Ovis aries: one gene and its partners. The protein of the gene in region 2 interacts with the protein of the main gene of each other region in a pairwise test. Links are inferred from orthologs where the notes say so. Each region holds a gene or a part of one and is shown on either strand. Other genes may lie near its edges. The genes, in order: POLE3, DRAP1, GTF2B and NFYB.

What was found.
Region 1: the proteins of DRAP1 (region 2) and POLE3 interact in binary tests that used the Homo sapiens proteins (3 or more experiments, as listed by UniProt). The two-hybrid records come from large-scale screens. The link is inferred for Ovis aries from reciprocal best matches to the Homo sapiens genes DRAP1 and POLE3.
Region 3: the proteins of DRAP1 (region 2) and GTF2B interact in binary tests that used the Homo sapiens proteins (3 or more experiments, as listed by UniProt). The two-hybrid records come from large-scale screens. The link is inferred for Ovis aries from reciprocal best matches to the Homo sapiens genes DRAP1 and GTF2B.
Region 4: the proteins of DRAP1 (region 2) and NFYB interact in binary tests that used the Homo sapiens proteins (3 or more experiments, as listed by UniProt). The two-hybrid records come from large-scale screens. The link is inferred for Ovis aries from reciprocal best matches to the Homo sapiens genes DRAP1 and NFYB.

Annotation. Positions count from the first base shown.
Region 1 is NC_056057.1:710,544-713,233, reverse strand, and holds POLE3 (DNA polymerase epsilon subunit 3), read right to left. Parts: upstream 1,163-2,690; 5' UTR 1,063-1,162; coding exon 619-1,062; 3' UTR 503-618; downstream 1-502. UniProt on the Homo sapiens protein: Accessory component of the DNA polymerase epsilon complex. Participates in DNA repair and in chromosomal DNA replication.
Region 2 is NC_056074.1:40,463,727-40,467,640, reverse strand, and holds DRAP1 (dr1-associated corepressor), read right to left. Parts: upstream 2,656-3,914; 5' UTR 2,524-2,655; coding exon 2,482-2,523; intron 2,239-2,481; coding exon 2,166-2,238; intron 2,058-2,165; coding exon 1,964-2,057; intron 1,692-1,963; coding exon 1,572-1,691; intron 1,452-1,571; coding exon 1,358-1,451; intron 1,150-1,357; coding exon 1,061-1,149; intron 731-1,060; coding exon 625-730; 3' UTR 513-624; downstream 1-512. Other genes in the region: C21H11orf68 (UPF0696 protein C11orf68 homolog), read left to right, coding at 2,927-3,048. UniProt on the Homo sapiens protein: The association of the DR1/DRAP1 heterodimer with TBP results in a functional repression of both activated and basal transcription of class II genes.
Region 3 is NC_056054.1:66,124,009-66,128,314, reverse strand, and holds the start of GTF2B (transcription initiation factor IIB), read left to right. Parts: upstream 1-1,453; 5' UTR 1,454-1,522; coding exon 1,523-1,539; intron 1,540-4,306. UniProt on the Homo sapiens protein: General transcription factor that plays a role in transcription initiation by RNA polymerase II (Pol II). Involved in the pre-initiation complex (PIC) formation and Pol II recruitment at promoter DNA.
Region 4 is NC_056056.1:173,375,377-173,378,943, forward strand, and holds part of NFYB (nuclear transcription factor Y subunit beta), read right to left. Parts: intron 2,764-3,567; coding exon 2,566-2,763; intron 1,341-2,565; coding exon 1,259-1,340; intron 567-1,258; coding exon 439-566; 3' UTR 1-438. UniProt on the Homo sapiens protein: Component of the sequence-specific heterotrimeric transcription factor (NF-Y) which specifically recognizes a 5'-CCAAT-3' box motif found in the promoters of its target genes.

The DNA of each region.
Region 1 (2,690 bases), on a different chromosome or scaffold from region 2:
GGCAATATAGAAGGGCTCTAAGCCAAGTGGGTCTATAGAAAACAAAATTAAATTAATGTTACTGTCAAATGAAGAAACAGCAGATTTTATTGTTCTCTTCAACCTTTTTAGTAGTTTCCTAAAGCTAAGCCATTCTTATCACTTGAAATAAGCTAGTATTGCCAAATATTGTATAATCAAATAGGTTGACTGTGATCAAACCTCAATTTTTCCTGAGCCTGAACTGCCTCTGTGATTTGGGACACAGTTAGCAGCATGGAAGTTATTATTACTTTTCTGGGGGGCAGGGAGGGAACTGGGGGGGGTCAACAATTGCCTAACTATATGTGTATGTAAACAAAAGAGATCAAACTGACCAATTAAATTTGCTATTCAGAATCCCTCTTGCCAAAAGTTATAACCTTGAGACTGATTAAGCAAACCAGGATTCTGCTACTCAGATGCTCCGAGTCTGGTAAGCACTGGCTTTGAAGATAATCCTGATGATTAATTCAGTTTTTATTTCAATCTCATCAGGCTCTTCTGCCTAAGACTACTCTGCCCAGCCGGAACAAGCTTCACACAAACGTGTACCAAGTTTTCTCGTGGTTCTTTCCAAGGGGCGTCTCCCCATCCTCCTCAGTTGTCCACTTCCTCCTCTTTATTCTGTTCTTCTTCCTCCAGCCTTTCCTCATCTTCATCATTGTCCTCATCCCTGCTCTTGTCCTGCTCTTCCGAATCTGTTTTTTTGTCTTTGTCCTTCTTCTTTTGCTCTGAAGCTTCATTCTTGCCTTTCTGCTCCCTCTTATAAGCTTCCAGAGCTTCTTTTAATGGGGTAACGAACCGCTGAAACTCCGTCTCCTCCATGGCTGACAGCACATCGCTGGCATTCAGTGTCTTGCGTTTCCCTTTCATTGCAAAGTTGTTGGCACAGGATGTGGCGTACAGCACGAAGACGCTGGTGGCGTGGGAGATGGCGCTCCGGGCCTCCTTGGAGATGCTGACACCGTCCGGGAGCGCCTCCTTGATGATTCTGGTGATGACGGCATTGGGCAGGTTTAGGTCCTCGGGCCTCTCCGCCATGGTCGCGGCCGGGGACCATGCCTGCGACCTCCTCTTCAGGCCGCCACGGCGTCTGGACTTCCCGCGTCGCCACAGTCTGACCCAGCGAGGCTTCCGTCCCACCCTTTTTATTTTTAAAATGTATAATCTCTAATGATCAGAAGATTTAAAATATTAACAATGTTCAATTTTTTAGTTTCTTTATGGTTCTTGATTGTAATTTTTTCACAGAATTTTTATAAGTTTAGCTTTGACCTCTTGATCTATGACTCATTTAGAGCTAATTTTCATCTACCGCATTAGGTAGTGGTTGAGGTTCCTTTTTTTCATATACGGATATCTAATTGATGTGGTATAATTTGTTGAAAAATATATTATTTCTGCTTCAATTACTTTGATATCTTTGTAAAACTTTTCATCTATTTAAGTATATTCCTGGACTTTCTTTTTTTTTTGGTATTTTTAAATTTTTTTTTAATTTTAAAATCTTTATGATGTTTCAGTGATTTTTATGTTTATTCTTATATCAATACCTTACAACCTTCCTTTCGTTCATTTAGTTGTTTTTATATTTTTATTTTATATTAAAATACAATTGATTAGCAATAATGTGTTAGTTGCATGTATGCAGCAAAGTGATTCAGTTATACCCATACAAGCATCCTTTGTCTTTTAAATTATTTTTCCATTTAGATTATTACAGAATATTAACCAGAGATCCCTGTGCTCTACAGTAGGTTCTTGATTATCTATTTTAAATATAGCAGCATATACATGTCAATCCCAAACTCACAGTCTATTCCTCCCCTCCCTGCTTTTTCCCCTGGTTATCATAATTGTGTTTTCTAAGTCTCTGAGTGTTCCTGTTTTATAAATAAGTATATTTGTATCTTTTATTTTAAGATTCTTACATATAAGCCATATCATATGATATTTGTCTTACTTACTTCACTTAGTATAATAATCTCAGATCAAACCTTGTTGCTGTAATTGGTATATTTCATTCTTTTTAATTGCTGGGTAATATTCCATTGTGTGTATATATATATATATATATATACTGTATTTTGTTTCTCCATTCATCTGTTGACATTTAAGTTGCTTCCAAGTCTTGGCTATTGTAAACAGCACTGTGATGAACATCAGGGTGCATGTAACCTTTTGAAGCATGGTTTTTTCCTAGTATGTATCCAGAATCCATATGCTGGTTCACTTAGTAGGTATATTGAGTTTTTTAAGAAACCTCTATATTGTTCTCTTTAGCTATCATATCATTTTACATTCACACCAGCAATGTAGGAGAATTCCCATTTCCCCATACCCTCTCCAACATTTGTCATTTGTAGACATTTTTAATGATGGCCATTCTGAATTTGCATTTCTCTAATACTTAGTAATATTGAGCATCTTTAATATGAGTCGTTCATTTGTATGTTGTCTTTGAAGTATCTAAAACAGAACTATTTTCCTTCACTAAAACTGATTTGTGTGCTACCTATTGTTCCCATTACTTCTTTGGAATTTCTAGAAACCACCAGAAATACTTTTTCCTGATTCTAATTTGTCCTTTTCAAGAAAGGAAATTCATAATTCATATATATGTACATAAATAATTCTTTCTCAAATAGAAATAACTTCTGACTTAGCAT
Region 2 (3,914 bases):
GCCTCGTGCGCATAGCTCCAGGGTCTGCTCAGAGTCACTGCCTGCTCACCAGCCAGCCTTCATGGGGCCCCCACCACACCACCTACCTCTGCCCCCACTGCCCCTCCTCATGTCCTTTAAGGCAAGTGGCCCAAGCTCTAGTTTCCCAGACTCATTTCTGTTACCTGTCCCTTTGCAGCAACCCAGAGTGAACAGAATGGTCTACATCAGAGAGCCAAGAAGAAGTCATTCAGAGAAGAGGAACCTACCCACGGACACACAGCACCATGAGACAGGCTGTCCCCCAGCATGACCGGCACCAGCTGGCTCAGACCCTCTGCCGCTCTGACCGGCCTTCCTTCCATTGGCACCCCTGGCCCTGCGCTGGCAGAACTGTGGCCTCCAGCCCCCCCTCTTCAGTCAGCTGCTGCCCAGCCCCCCGGGGCTCTGGGTCCCAGCTCAGCATCAGGAAGGAGGTGGAAGGAGAGAAGGAGGCCACAAACCCTGGACAAAAACCGGGACAGACGTGAGTGTTCCCTTTTGTTATTATTTTATTAATAAATTTAAGAACAGCTCTATGGTCTCTCTTCCCCCCAGAGCAACTAAAACAAACTAAAGGGGGTGTGGCCTGGGGGGCAGAGGGCGCTAGGAGTCATAATCCTCTTCTTCCTCTGCGTCAGGTGCTGAGGGGCCCGGGGGTGCTGGGGGCAGAGGCAGGGTCGAGGTGAAGGGCATGAAGGGTGTCGGGGGGCTGCAGGGGAGAAAGCAGTAAAGAAAGATCAGGCCACTCTCTGGTGCCCATCCCCACCCACTCAGCCCCACCTGGGCATCCCCGGAGCCCACTACCCTCTGTACCAACAGGGAGCAAGCCCAGAGAACGGAAGGACCCAGGGCAGGTCACACAGCCCCACCTAGCAGAAGAGGACCTTCTGAGAGTACAGTCCCCAGCCTTGAAGTCCTTCTTAGTTCTTCCCCTACCATCCCCCCAGTCTGCCATGACCAACAAAACCAAGTGGCTAGGGAGGCCAGGAGGGAGGCCAGAGTCAGTCTTGGGGTCAGTGGGCCCCTTGGTGCCACTTACCTCTGAAAGTGGGCAGGGGGGTGGCTGGCCTGGGGTGGGACCTGTGGTGTCTCCTCTTCTCCGTCACTGTCTGTATCCTCAGACTCATCCTGAGAACAAGGCAGGACTTAGAGACTAGAAGGGCAGGGCCCCATCACTGGAAAGCAGGGACAGGAGGCTGACCTCACTAACCCCAATTTACAAAGAAACCAATACAAAGGTCACAGGTGAGGGACCAGGCCCCCAGCCAGCTCATCCTGGCCTGGTATAGGGCTGCCCTGTCCACCCTATGGGCCAGAAGCCTAGGGCCTCACTCACCTCCTGCTCTGAGTCCGTCCCTGACAGCTTCTTGTCCTTGCCTTTGCTTCCCATCCCACCGTTCTTCCGGCCACTGCTGCCTGGCTTCCGGCCCCTTCGGGAAGGTACAGTACATCTGCCCACAGGTCTCCCCACTCCTTCACCACTCCCCAGCCATCCCCAAGTCCAGGGGCCTTGGCCTTCCCCACCTGGACACTGGTCCCTGGCACCCTACCTGCGGGGACCCTTGTCCCCATCCATGTGGTTGTCTTCTCCATCCCCCTGCATGTCAGGCACAGATGCCACCAGGTCCTTCAAGAAGTCAAACTGCTGCTCCAGCTCAATGCACTGTTTCCTGGAAGAAGTGGGAAGGGGTTGGCACTCGGATGAGGCCCAGACATCTGGGCCCTCAACAAGGGACAGTACGGACTCTGTGGATGTCAGGGGAATGGAACCTGGAAAATTTCCACCCCAACCCTCCCCCTTGGCCAGAACATCCTAATCCTCCTCCTCAAATCCACAGATCTCACAGCAGCCTACCAATTCCTTATCAGGGCACAGCCTCCCCCAGGCGTGTGAACTGGAGGAAGACCCCCAACTGGGCCCTCTAGGATCGGAGCCACTCACAGGTGGGATGTAGTCATGGTCTTGGCGTTTCGGGACTGGGTAACTTGGCATGCTTTCTTCAACAGAGACTCCAAGAAAAGCTCGAGCGCCCGAGCTGAGGAGGGTCAAGGAGAACGCAGGGTGGTGGCCCAGTCCACAAAAAGCGACCCCGGGGCTGCCGGGCTCCCCCACTCCCCCATCCCGACAGCTCCCGACAGGATACAGATGATGACAGGCACGGCCGCCGCCACCTTCCCAATCTCTTCATCCGTCTGCATGATCTTCTTGATTCGTGCCTGGGGAGGGGGCAGACAGCTCGGACCCCGTAGCCTCCGTCCCAGAAAGGGTGCTTAAGCCGGGCAGAGAGAGGGAGCATCCCGGGAGAAAGGGGGCGGGGGGCACCCACGCTGGAAGGGCACGGAAGGGGGCGGGGCGTACGGGGCCCCGAACACGGCGATGCGCCCGCCTCCCTAGTCCGGCCTGGGCCGGAGCTTCCCGAGAGCCCGGCCCGTTCCTCTGGGGCCCGCTCACGTGCTCACCGGCGGGAACCGCGCGTTGTACTTCTTCTTCTTGCTCGGCATCTCGGGGCCTCTCCCGCCGCGCCGGACCCAGCGCCGCCGCCCGCAGCCTCCCGGCACCCGGGCCTGCTCTTAGCCCGTCCGCCGCGGTTCCCCCGGGTCCTGGTGCCGCCGGCTCCGCCCCCAACGCTTCCTACAGGGTCCTAGCGCCGCCGGTCAGGACGCCGCCGGCAGGGCCCGAGCGCCCTCCCCCTTAGAGCCTCCCGGGCTTTGCGCGTCCGTCCGGGGCGGAACCGCCACTCCCGCCCGCCCCCAAGACCTGAAGAGCGAACGTTAGCTCCGCCCCCCAAGGCCCGCCCCTCCTCGCCTTCCCTGATGGCCCCGCCCCCATGGCCCCGCCCCTTCCCGGCCCCGCCCTGTGCTGCGTTTGTCTATAAAGTTCTTGTTGAGGCGCCGGGGTACTAAGATGGCGGCGGCGGCGGCAGCCGTGGCGGGGGCGGGGCGCGGCGGTGGCAGCGGCGCAGATCCCCGGCAGGAACGGAGCCGGGCCCGGGGCTGGCCCGGCGCCGAGCGCAGCGAAGGCCGGAGGTGACGCTGGGGTTGGCGGGAGGGGGCAGGACGGGGGCGCAGCTCGGGCCGTGGGCACTAATGGCGGCGGGCGCGGCGGGGCGGGAGGCAGGCTCTCCTGCAGCCTCTATCCAGCCGGGGTTCGAGTCCAGGCACCGCCCCGTTGGTCTCGGATCGGACACTGCCCGTTTCTCGCCTCAGTGCCCTCGTCTTTAAGTAGGTTGGATAACGCTCGCCCGGAGGCCTGGCCCCATGGGCCCTGCCTCGGTGCGGCGAGGACGTGTGCTTTGCCTCCCTCCATTAAATCCCAGCGCCCGGGAGAGCGGCCAGGCTCTGGCAGGGCCAGGAGGCGTAGCTGGGCCGGCGGTTCCCGCATTTGAATTGCCGTTTCGGCCCTATCACTCACTGAAGGTGTGACCTGCAGTGAGCCCCTTCTCTCTGAGCTTCGGTTTCCTCGTTTGTAGGTCAAGGAGAGCAGTAATAACACTAACTACATTTATATAGCTTTTGTTCCACCTCAGGCGGTTAATTCTGCACAACTGCTTGAGGCAGTAACAAGTTGTTATCCATTGTGGAGACGCGGCAGCCGAGGCCCAGGCCCACACCGTTCAGTTCAGTGCCTGGCACCCCCTGCTGCTGCTGCTGCTGCTGCTGCTGCTGCTGCTAAGTCGCTCCAGTCGTGTCCGACTCTGTGCGACCCCATAGACGTCAGCCCAACAGGCTCCCCCGTCCCTGGGATTCTCCAGGCAAGAACACTGGAGTGGGTTGCCATTTCCTTCTCCAGTGCATGAAAGTGAAAAGTGAAAGTGAAGTCGCTCAGTCGTGTCCGACTCTTAGTGACCCGTGGACTGTAGCCTACCAGGCTCCTCCATCCATGGGATTCTCCA
Region 3 (4,306 bases), on a different chromosome or scaffold from region 2:
GGGCATGCGGGCTTTGCCCACATCTACTTGATCATCGGAAAAGCAAGAGTTCCAGAAAAACATGTTTCTGCTTTATTGACTATGCCAAAGCCTTTGACTGTGTGGATCACAAACTGTGGAAAATTCTGAAAGAGATGGGAATACCAGACCACCTGACCTGCCTCTTGAGAAACCTGTATGCAGGTCAAGAAGTAACAGTTAGAACTGGACATGGAACAATGGACTGGTTCCAAACAGGAAAAGGAGTCCGTCAAGGCTGTACATCATCACCCTGCTTATTTAACTTCTATACAGAGTACATCATGAGAAACGCTGCGCTGGGGGAAGCACAAGCTGGAATCAAGATTGCTGGGAGAATTATCAATAACCTCAGTTATGCACATGACACCACCCTTATGGCAGAAAGTGAGGAAGAACTAAAAAGCCTGTTGATGAAAGTGAAAGGGGAGAGTGAAAAAGTTAGCTTAAAACTCAACATTCAGAAAACTAAGATCATGGCATCTGGTCCCATCATTTCATGGCAAATAGATGGGTAACAGTGGACACAATGGCTGACTTTATTTTTCTGGGCTCCAAAATCACTGCAGATGGTGATTGCAGCCAAGAAATTAAAAGACACTTGCTCCTTGGAAGGAAAGTTATGACCAACCTAGACAACATATTAAAAAGCAGAGACATTACTTTGTCAACAAAGGTCCGTCTAGTCAAGGCTATGGTTTTTCCTGTGGTCATGTATGGATGTGAGAGTTGGACTATAAAGAAGGCTGAGCACCAAAGAATTGATGCCTTTGAACTGCGTTATTGGAGAAGACTCTTGAGAGTCCCTTGGACTGCAAGGAGATCCAACCAGTCCATCCTAAAGGAAATCAGTCTTGGGTGTTCATTGCTGGGACTGATGTTGAAGCTGCCACTCCAATACTTTGGCCACCTGATGCGAGGAGCTGACTCATTTGAAAAGACCCTGATGCTGGGAAAGATTAAGGGCAGGAGGAGAAAGGGATGACAGAGGATGAGATGGTTGGATGGCATCACCGACTCGATGGATATGGGTTTGGGTGGACTCCGGGAATTGGTGATGGACAGGAAGGCCTGGAGTGCTGCGATTCATGGGGTCACAAAGAGTCGGACACGACTGAGCGACTGAACTGAAGTGAACGGATGCGGGCTTTGCCCCCTCCACGGAGCCCAGTATTTTGTGTTGTAACTCAGTCAAGTTGAGGGTATCTCTGGTGCAGCACGTTTGCAGAGTGCCCTTGGGAATTTTCCCGGGTGATTTCCTATATTTGCCCAGCCACATAGAAAATGATCGAAAGTGAATAGGGAAGTAAGAAAACGCAAAGCACGGGGCGTACCCGAGCTCACTGTTCTTGGCCCTTCTCCGGACCCGTAGCCACGCCCTATTACGACTGCGTGGGCGATTCGCCTATAAAAGCCCGTCTCGCTGCGTTTCGTCGCCACTGTCTCTTCCTGTTTGCGGTTGCGTCTGTCGTTGTTTGTAGCTGGAGCCGCAGTGGCCGGGAAGATGGCGTCTACCAGCCGGTTAGTACGTCATGTAGAGCCCAGCCAGCTGAAGGGCGGGCGGCGAGTGCCGGGGCTAGCAGGGCGGCCGCTCCCGCTGCTTCGTCGAGCAGAACGCCTCGGAAGTGCGGGGAGAGGCAGCCGGACCGGCTGGCCGCCCGGGACAAAGGCACTTCCAGACGCAGGGCTGTCAGGGGTGTCGCAGGGGATAACGAGCCGCCGGCGTTTCTCCTCCAGCGTCCTTGGTCGTTTTCTCACTCAGGCACTATCATGTGGGGGGCTCCGGTGTCCCCAGCCCCTGGCCTCGGGTCTTTTGCGTATGATCCAACTGTCCTTTTTTCCTAAATTTTCTACGCTTGTTTTTTTTAATCTGTTGGTCTGCCAGCGGAGGGTCCGTGAATCCTCTTCTAGAGAGCGGGAAAGGGTTAGTTCTAGGCCTTTATCCATCTGACAAAAAGTTAGGGACGTCAGCGTTGGTAAACCTGATGGAAACTGATAACCATCCCCGAGGCCTTTTGAAGTGGAAGCTAAGGCATTTCTGAAGAGTTGATAAGTCTCCTTAAGAGATTTCTTTAGAGATGTCATCTGCATACTCCTGAAGAAAATTTTGCCTGCAGAAAATTAACATACTGGGAAGTCACTCAGAAGGCAACGCACTCTAGTGTTCTTGCCTGGAGAAGCCCAGGGACGGGGGAGCCTGGTGGGCTGCCATCTATGGGGTCGCACAGTGTCGGACACGATTGAAGCGACTTAACAGCAGCCGCAGCAGAGAAGTCACTAATATATTTTTAAAATGTGATGTACTGATTGATACCTACTGCAAATGCATACAGTGGCATTAGAGACAGCCTTTAATCCTGTGACGTGAAAAATGCTTGCAGACCCTAATTATGTCTCTCATGACCCTGAGGTAGATATTAGGATTTTTGCCTAAGTGTAAACTGAGTCATGCCCATGTTGGCTTTTCGAAGGTTAGTATTAGAACAGAGTATAGAATCTCAGATATCTGTTTCCTGTTGTCACACTTGGTAACTCATAATGTACTAAACATATCAGATTAAGTTCTGTAGCTTCTGGAAGGCAAGGTAACTCTGGCATAATTTTTCTGAACTTGTTCTCATCTTTGGAATTGAGTTCCTGATGAAAGCCATCATCACAAAATGATAATCTTTGAGTAGTACAGGCCCTTTCTGGTGAGTACCAAGGCTTACTACTTTGTGTTACTGTATTTTAAAAAGATGGGGCAGGAGGCAGCCTTAGCTAAACTACTTGGAAACAGCTCTTATGGCCAGTGATACTTGTTTACTGATTCTAATTCTGTGATTAAATGTTCAATCATTCTACTTGGGTGTGGCTCTGTCAGGTTAGGGTTCCTTGTAGGTAAATGGAGAACTAGCTTCCCAAGAACACCTATATATAACATTCTCCTAGGGCAGATCTGCTATGAATATGGTTATATTGGGGCTTTATTATAACATATTGTAGTAGTTACATATAGGAAATTCACTTGATAGATTCTTTACGGAAACATTTCCTTTGTGTGCTTTATTCTCTTCATTAAAAGAAAAAATGTGAGATATTTCTTTGAAATAAATTTTCCCTAGGTTTATTGCAGTTGTCCATCTCTGAGTTTTTTTTACCCGTGAGAACAAAGGTGGATGTTAGTATTTCTGTGATAGCTTTTTTCCCCCTGAGGAAGAGGGACAGTTACTGGACTATGAAACTGCTTGGTGTTTTCACAGAGAAGAACACAAATGTTGTGAGTTCAGATCTAAACTCTACCACTCATTAGTTCTGTGACTTCAGGAAAATCATTCTCTGAGCATAATCTTTAAAATAGAGGTAATGCTTAATTTGTGGAGAAGGCAATGGCACCCTGCTCCAGTACTCTTGCCTGGAAAATCCCATGGAAGGAGCAGCCTGGAAGGCTGCAGTACATGGGGTTGCTGAGGGTCGGACACGACTAACTTCACTTTCGATTTTCACTTTCATGCATTGGAGAAGGAAATGGCAACCCACTCCATTGTTCTTGCCTGGGGAATCCCAGGGATGGGGGAGCCTCCTGGGCTGCCGTCTGTGGGGTCGCACAGAGTTGGACACGACTGAAACAGCTTAGCAGCAGTAGCAGCAATGCTTAATTTGAAGGGTTGCTAATGAAGATTAATAATAGATGTACAGTACTAGACACAGTAAAGGATAGCTATAAAATGAAGTTAGGAATTATGTGGCTTCTTAGGCAGCCTAAGTTGTTTTAATGTCAGTGGTGGTGGTATACTCCATTCCTTCCCTCTTGTTTCTTTCCCTGACTTCCCCCACTACCCTACTCTTGTGGTTCCTCTTTTGTATTACCCTTGTGGGTTATTTAATTAAAAGTTAACTGCTTGAGCACAATTTTATTTTATTTTGAATAGGTAACACATGCAAATCATAAAAAGCAAGAAGAAAAGTGAAAAGCAGTTTCTTTTTTCCCTCGCTCCTAGCCATCTAATTCTTCTCCAAAGCAGTCATTGTAACCAGTTTCTTGGTGTTTTCCTAATGATTCTGTGGTTTAACAAACATATTCATATAATCCTAACCTCTCTTCCTTCCAAAAAGTAGTCTAATATAAAAAATGAATGCCATCTTGCTTTTTACCTTTTTTTGTGAAGTTTTTAGCACACAGATTTTAAGTGTGCAGTTCAGTTACAAAGTGAGCATGTACACTTAGCTGTCACCCAAGTCTCCCGAATAAATACCACTAGCAGCAGCAGCACTCTGGAAACCTCCTTTATGCCCTCAGTCAGTACTC
Region 4 (3,567 bases), on a different chromosome or scaffold from region 2:
AATCTCCATTCTCTCTACCTAAGGAGCTACTTCAACAATCTCTTGTATATCTTTATAGAAATCTATGTGAATACACTCATTCCCTCAATATCCACGGCAGACTGGTTCCAGAACGCCCTGTAGATGCCAAAATGCACAGATGCTCAAGTCCTTTAGTCAGCTTTCAGTATCCACGGGTTCTGCATCTGTAAATTCCATCTGCGGATTCAACCAACGACGGATTGGAGACGGCATATGATCCACAGCTGGTTGAATCCATGGTGTGGAACCCATGGATATGAAGGACAGACTAAATGAACATCTGTGTACATATCTGTAACCATAAGAGAATACTATACACAGTTATATATTTTGAGAAAACAGTTTTTAACAAGCCTCTTTATCCAGTTCTTAATAATTATGTTGATGCTAACTACCTGTGATTTTTTTTTAAAAAAATCAATGAATATAATTTAAGTAATTTAAAATACAAAAAAAGTATGGTACCTGTTGATATGATGTTGTGTAAACCATAACATTTTGTTGCTGACCATCTGCAGTTATTAAGCCAGCTGGTAACTGGTTAGCTAAAAGACAAACAAACAAATGCCAAAGTAGGTAAAGAAGTGCATCTGCTTTCTTGACCTGAATCTTAAGACTGGGTGATTTTCCATTTAAAAAAAGTTTCCCCAAAAGCACATTTTTTTCTATAGCATTTTTTCAATTTTATGAAGTGTACTAACTGCCCATGTGCATAAAAGATGGATTAAGTTTCTGATTCATAAATACACCTAAACTCTAGGCTTAGGCTTGGCTGAGAACAACACTTACATAACTAAGCAGTATGTATTTTAAATATGAGAAATATAAAAATATATACATATAAATTTTACATGAGAAATATAGTCACCATAGACCTTTTATTTCACCAATGCCTAATGTCTCAATTTTTAAGAAACCTTCAGTTCAAATTTATTTAAATCACAAGATTTAATATTATAAACAATTCTCAATATTCCTATCTCATGAATCTTAAATAAAAAATTAGGGACTATGGAAATCAGAACTATTGGTAAAAGATTATAATCTCTGCAGAATTAAAATTTATACACTTATCCCTCACGAACTTCAAATATAAGGGCATGAACTAGTAAGAACTATTCAAAATAGTACTATGTCAAAACACACAGTGCTAATATTCCAAAAGTTCCACTAAAGACATATCCTGTTAATCACTGCCAACAATTTACTTGCATAAATGTATCATAACACTACTTACTAAATGCCTCCTCTGTAAGCTCTTCGCTTAGTCCATCTGTAGCTGTGACTGCTCCACCAATTCCTTTTTCTCCTTTCATAGCCTGGGGAAGGAAATGAAACAGTAATCACTTGTACTCAAAACATCAACAGCAGCAACAAAAACCTACTTCCTAAATGAAAATGCTTGCTTAGTTCCTAGAATTAGAAGCTTCTATTCTTATAAAACTGTTTATTAACACTTCTGGTTAATAACATACGGAGAGGTCCTTCAAAATGCTAACTGCTATATATGTAGTAGTCATCACAAGACAGTGTTAGTAATGACCTAGAAAATCTAAAATACTTATGAGTAAAAAGTTATTCTAATTCGACACTACGTCAAAAAGAAAAGTCTAATTACAGATAAAGTAGTCTGCAAAATATTATAAATACTCAGCTTGCAAATCTACTACAAGTGATCCCAGTATCATTTAACTATATACACATCTCTTGGCCAACGGGGCAGCACAGAGGCAGACAGCTGGGAGTTTAAAATTCCTCAATCAGAATACAGTTTGGATCGAAGACCGCTTAAGTGTCTGTCTACTCTCAGGTTCTAATAATCTAATGATGCTGAAGATCTGGAAAAGTTCTGTAGAGAATTAACATATTCTCTTCCTACTCCAGTCATTTTGTACAGATATCACAAAGTTAATGGGATTCTAACACTAAAGACATTAAGGAAATATGAGTAGTATGAATCTGACACCCAAGTTGGAGTGTAGAATTTAAAAATATGCTGATCTCAATTCATTTTCACAAATTCATACCATAGGCAAAGCAAAACCAAACATGAGATGTAGAAAAATTTAATTAATATAAGAAAATGATATAGTTGTAGTTCCCTATCTTTTTATCTAAATGCCCCAAGCTAAGATACTACCTCTTTTAAATTAATAACAATAACAGCATGTGCTATTAGTGACATTATTGACCATTCAGTATGTGCCAGGCCAAGGGTTGTACATGGATTGTTTTACTTTGTCTTAAGTCCTATTATTAGCCTCACTTTACAGACCAGGAAACCAAGGCCTAAAGTACTTAAATAGTCTGCCCAGGGTCATGGAGTTCAGCATCCAGGTGGTGTAAATCCAGAGTCCATGCTCTTTTAGTCATTACATAATTATGCTGCCATTAGTAATAAAGGGAAGAAGAAAGGACTTGCTATTTAAGTTCAATAATATAACTGATTACATACTTCTGAGAAATGATTCACATGTTTAAAAAGTTAAAGGGAATAGTGTACCTTAATTTTCTTAAAAGCATAACAGGAGACACTTTACTTACCTCTCTGAACTTTTGAAGGTATAGTTTCAGAGGTTCTACGTAACTGTCGAAGCCTAAGGTAGACATGGCAAAAAGAATGTCTTCTCCGTTGATTGTCTTCCGCTTCTCTTGGTGGCATCTTTCACTCGCTTCAGATGTTATGAAGCTGATGAACTCGCTCACACATTCTTGAACACATTCTTTGGCATCTTTTGCAATCTGAGGAGAAAAATCGAAGGTAAATCTGCAGGGAATACAATCACCACTTTCCTAACAACCTGCAAAAATAGAAAGTTATTCAGAAGAATATAAATTTCAGTTAATGACTGTTAACCTGCTAATAACACTGAATAATGTATGTTGTCAAAATTCGAACCCCCAGAGTGAGACTGAAAACTCAAATACAAGGAGAGAGGCTTTGACAGCTATTCACAAAAAACAGAATTTAGGTACAAAAGCAACCACTAGATGACTCTATTACCCAATAAAGATGAAAATTCTTACTAACCAAGTGCCCAAGAAAATCAATCCTGTTATGTCTGGAGCGTCCTGTGGGCTAGACTCAAGTCCTGCTTCTCTGCCTTGGCGTTTCCACCAGTGAGGACACCAGAAAGTTTTTAAAAACAAATAAGTTTGTGTAAGGCTTACAAGGGAGTGAAATAATGACATCTAGTGACATTTTTATTAATAAAGACACAGAGTGTCAGGAATAGGTTTTGAGTTTATGAAAAAGCCTACCAAAAGAAGCACACACCTGTCATCTTATTCACTCAGCGATCTAGGGTTTCAAAGTGAAACTGTAATAGACTAAACCATGCAATTCCAAAGTCACGTCTAACAGGAATGACCAAATCCTTGCTGAAACACACTGTCTTTCACCTCCACACCTATTTTACATCCTGGAGAAAAGTAACAAGAGTTACTGCATAAATGCAGTTAAGCAAGATAATATAATGTGAGCTGTATACAGGACTTCAGATTTTCTAGCAGCTATGCTAAAAAAAAAAATGAAATTAATTTTAA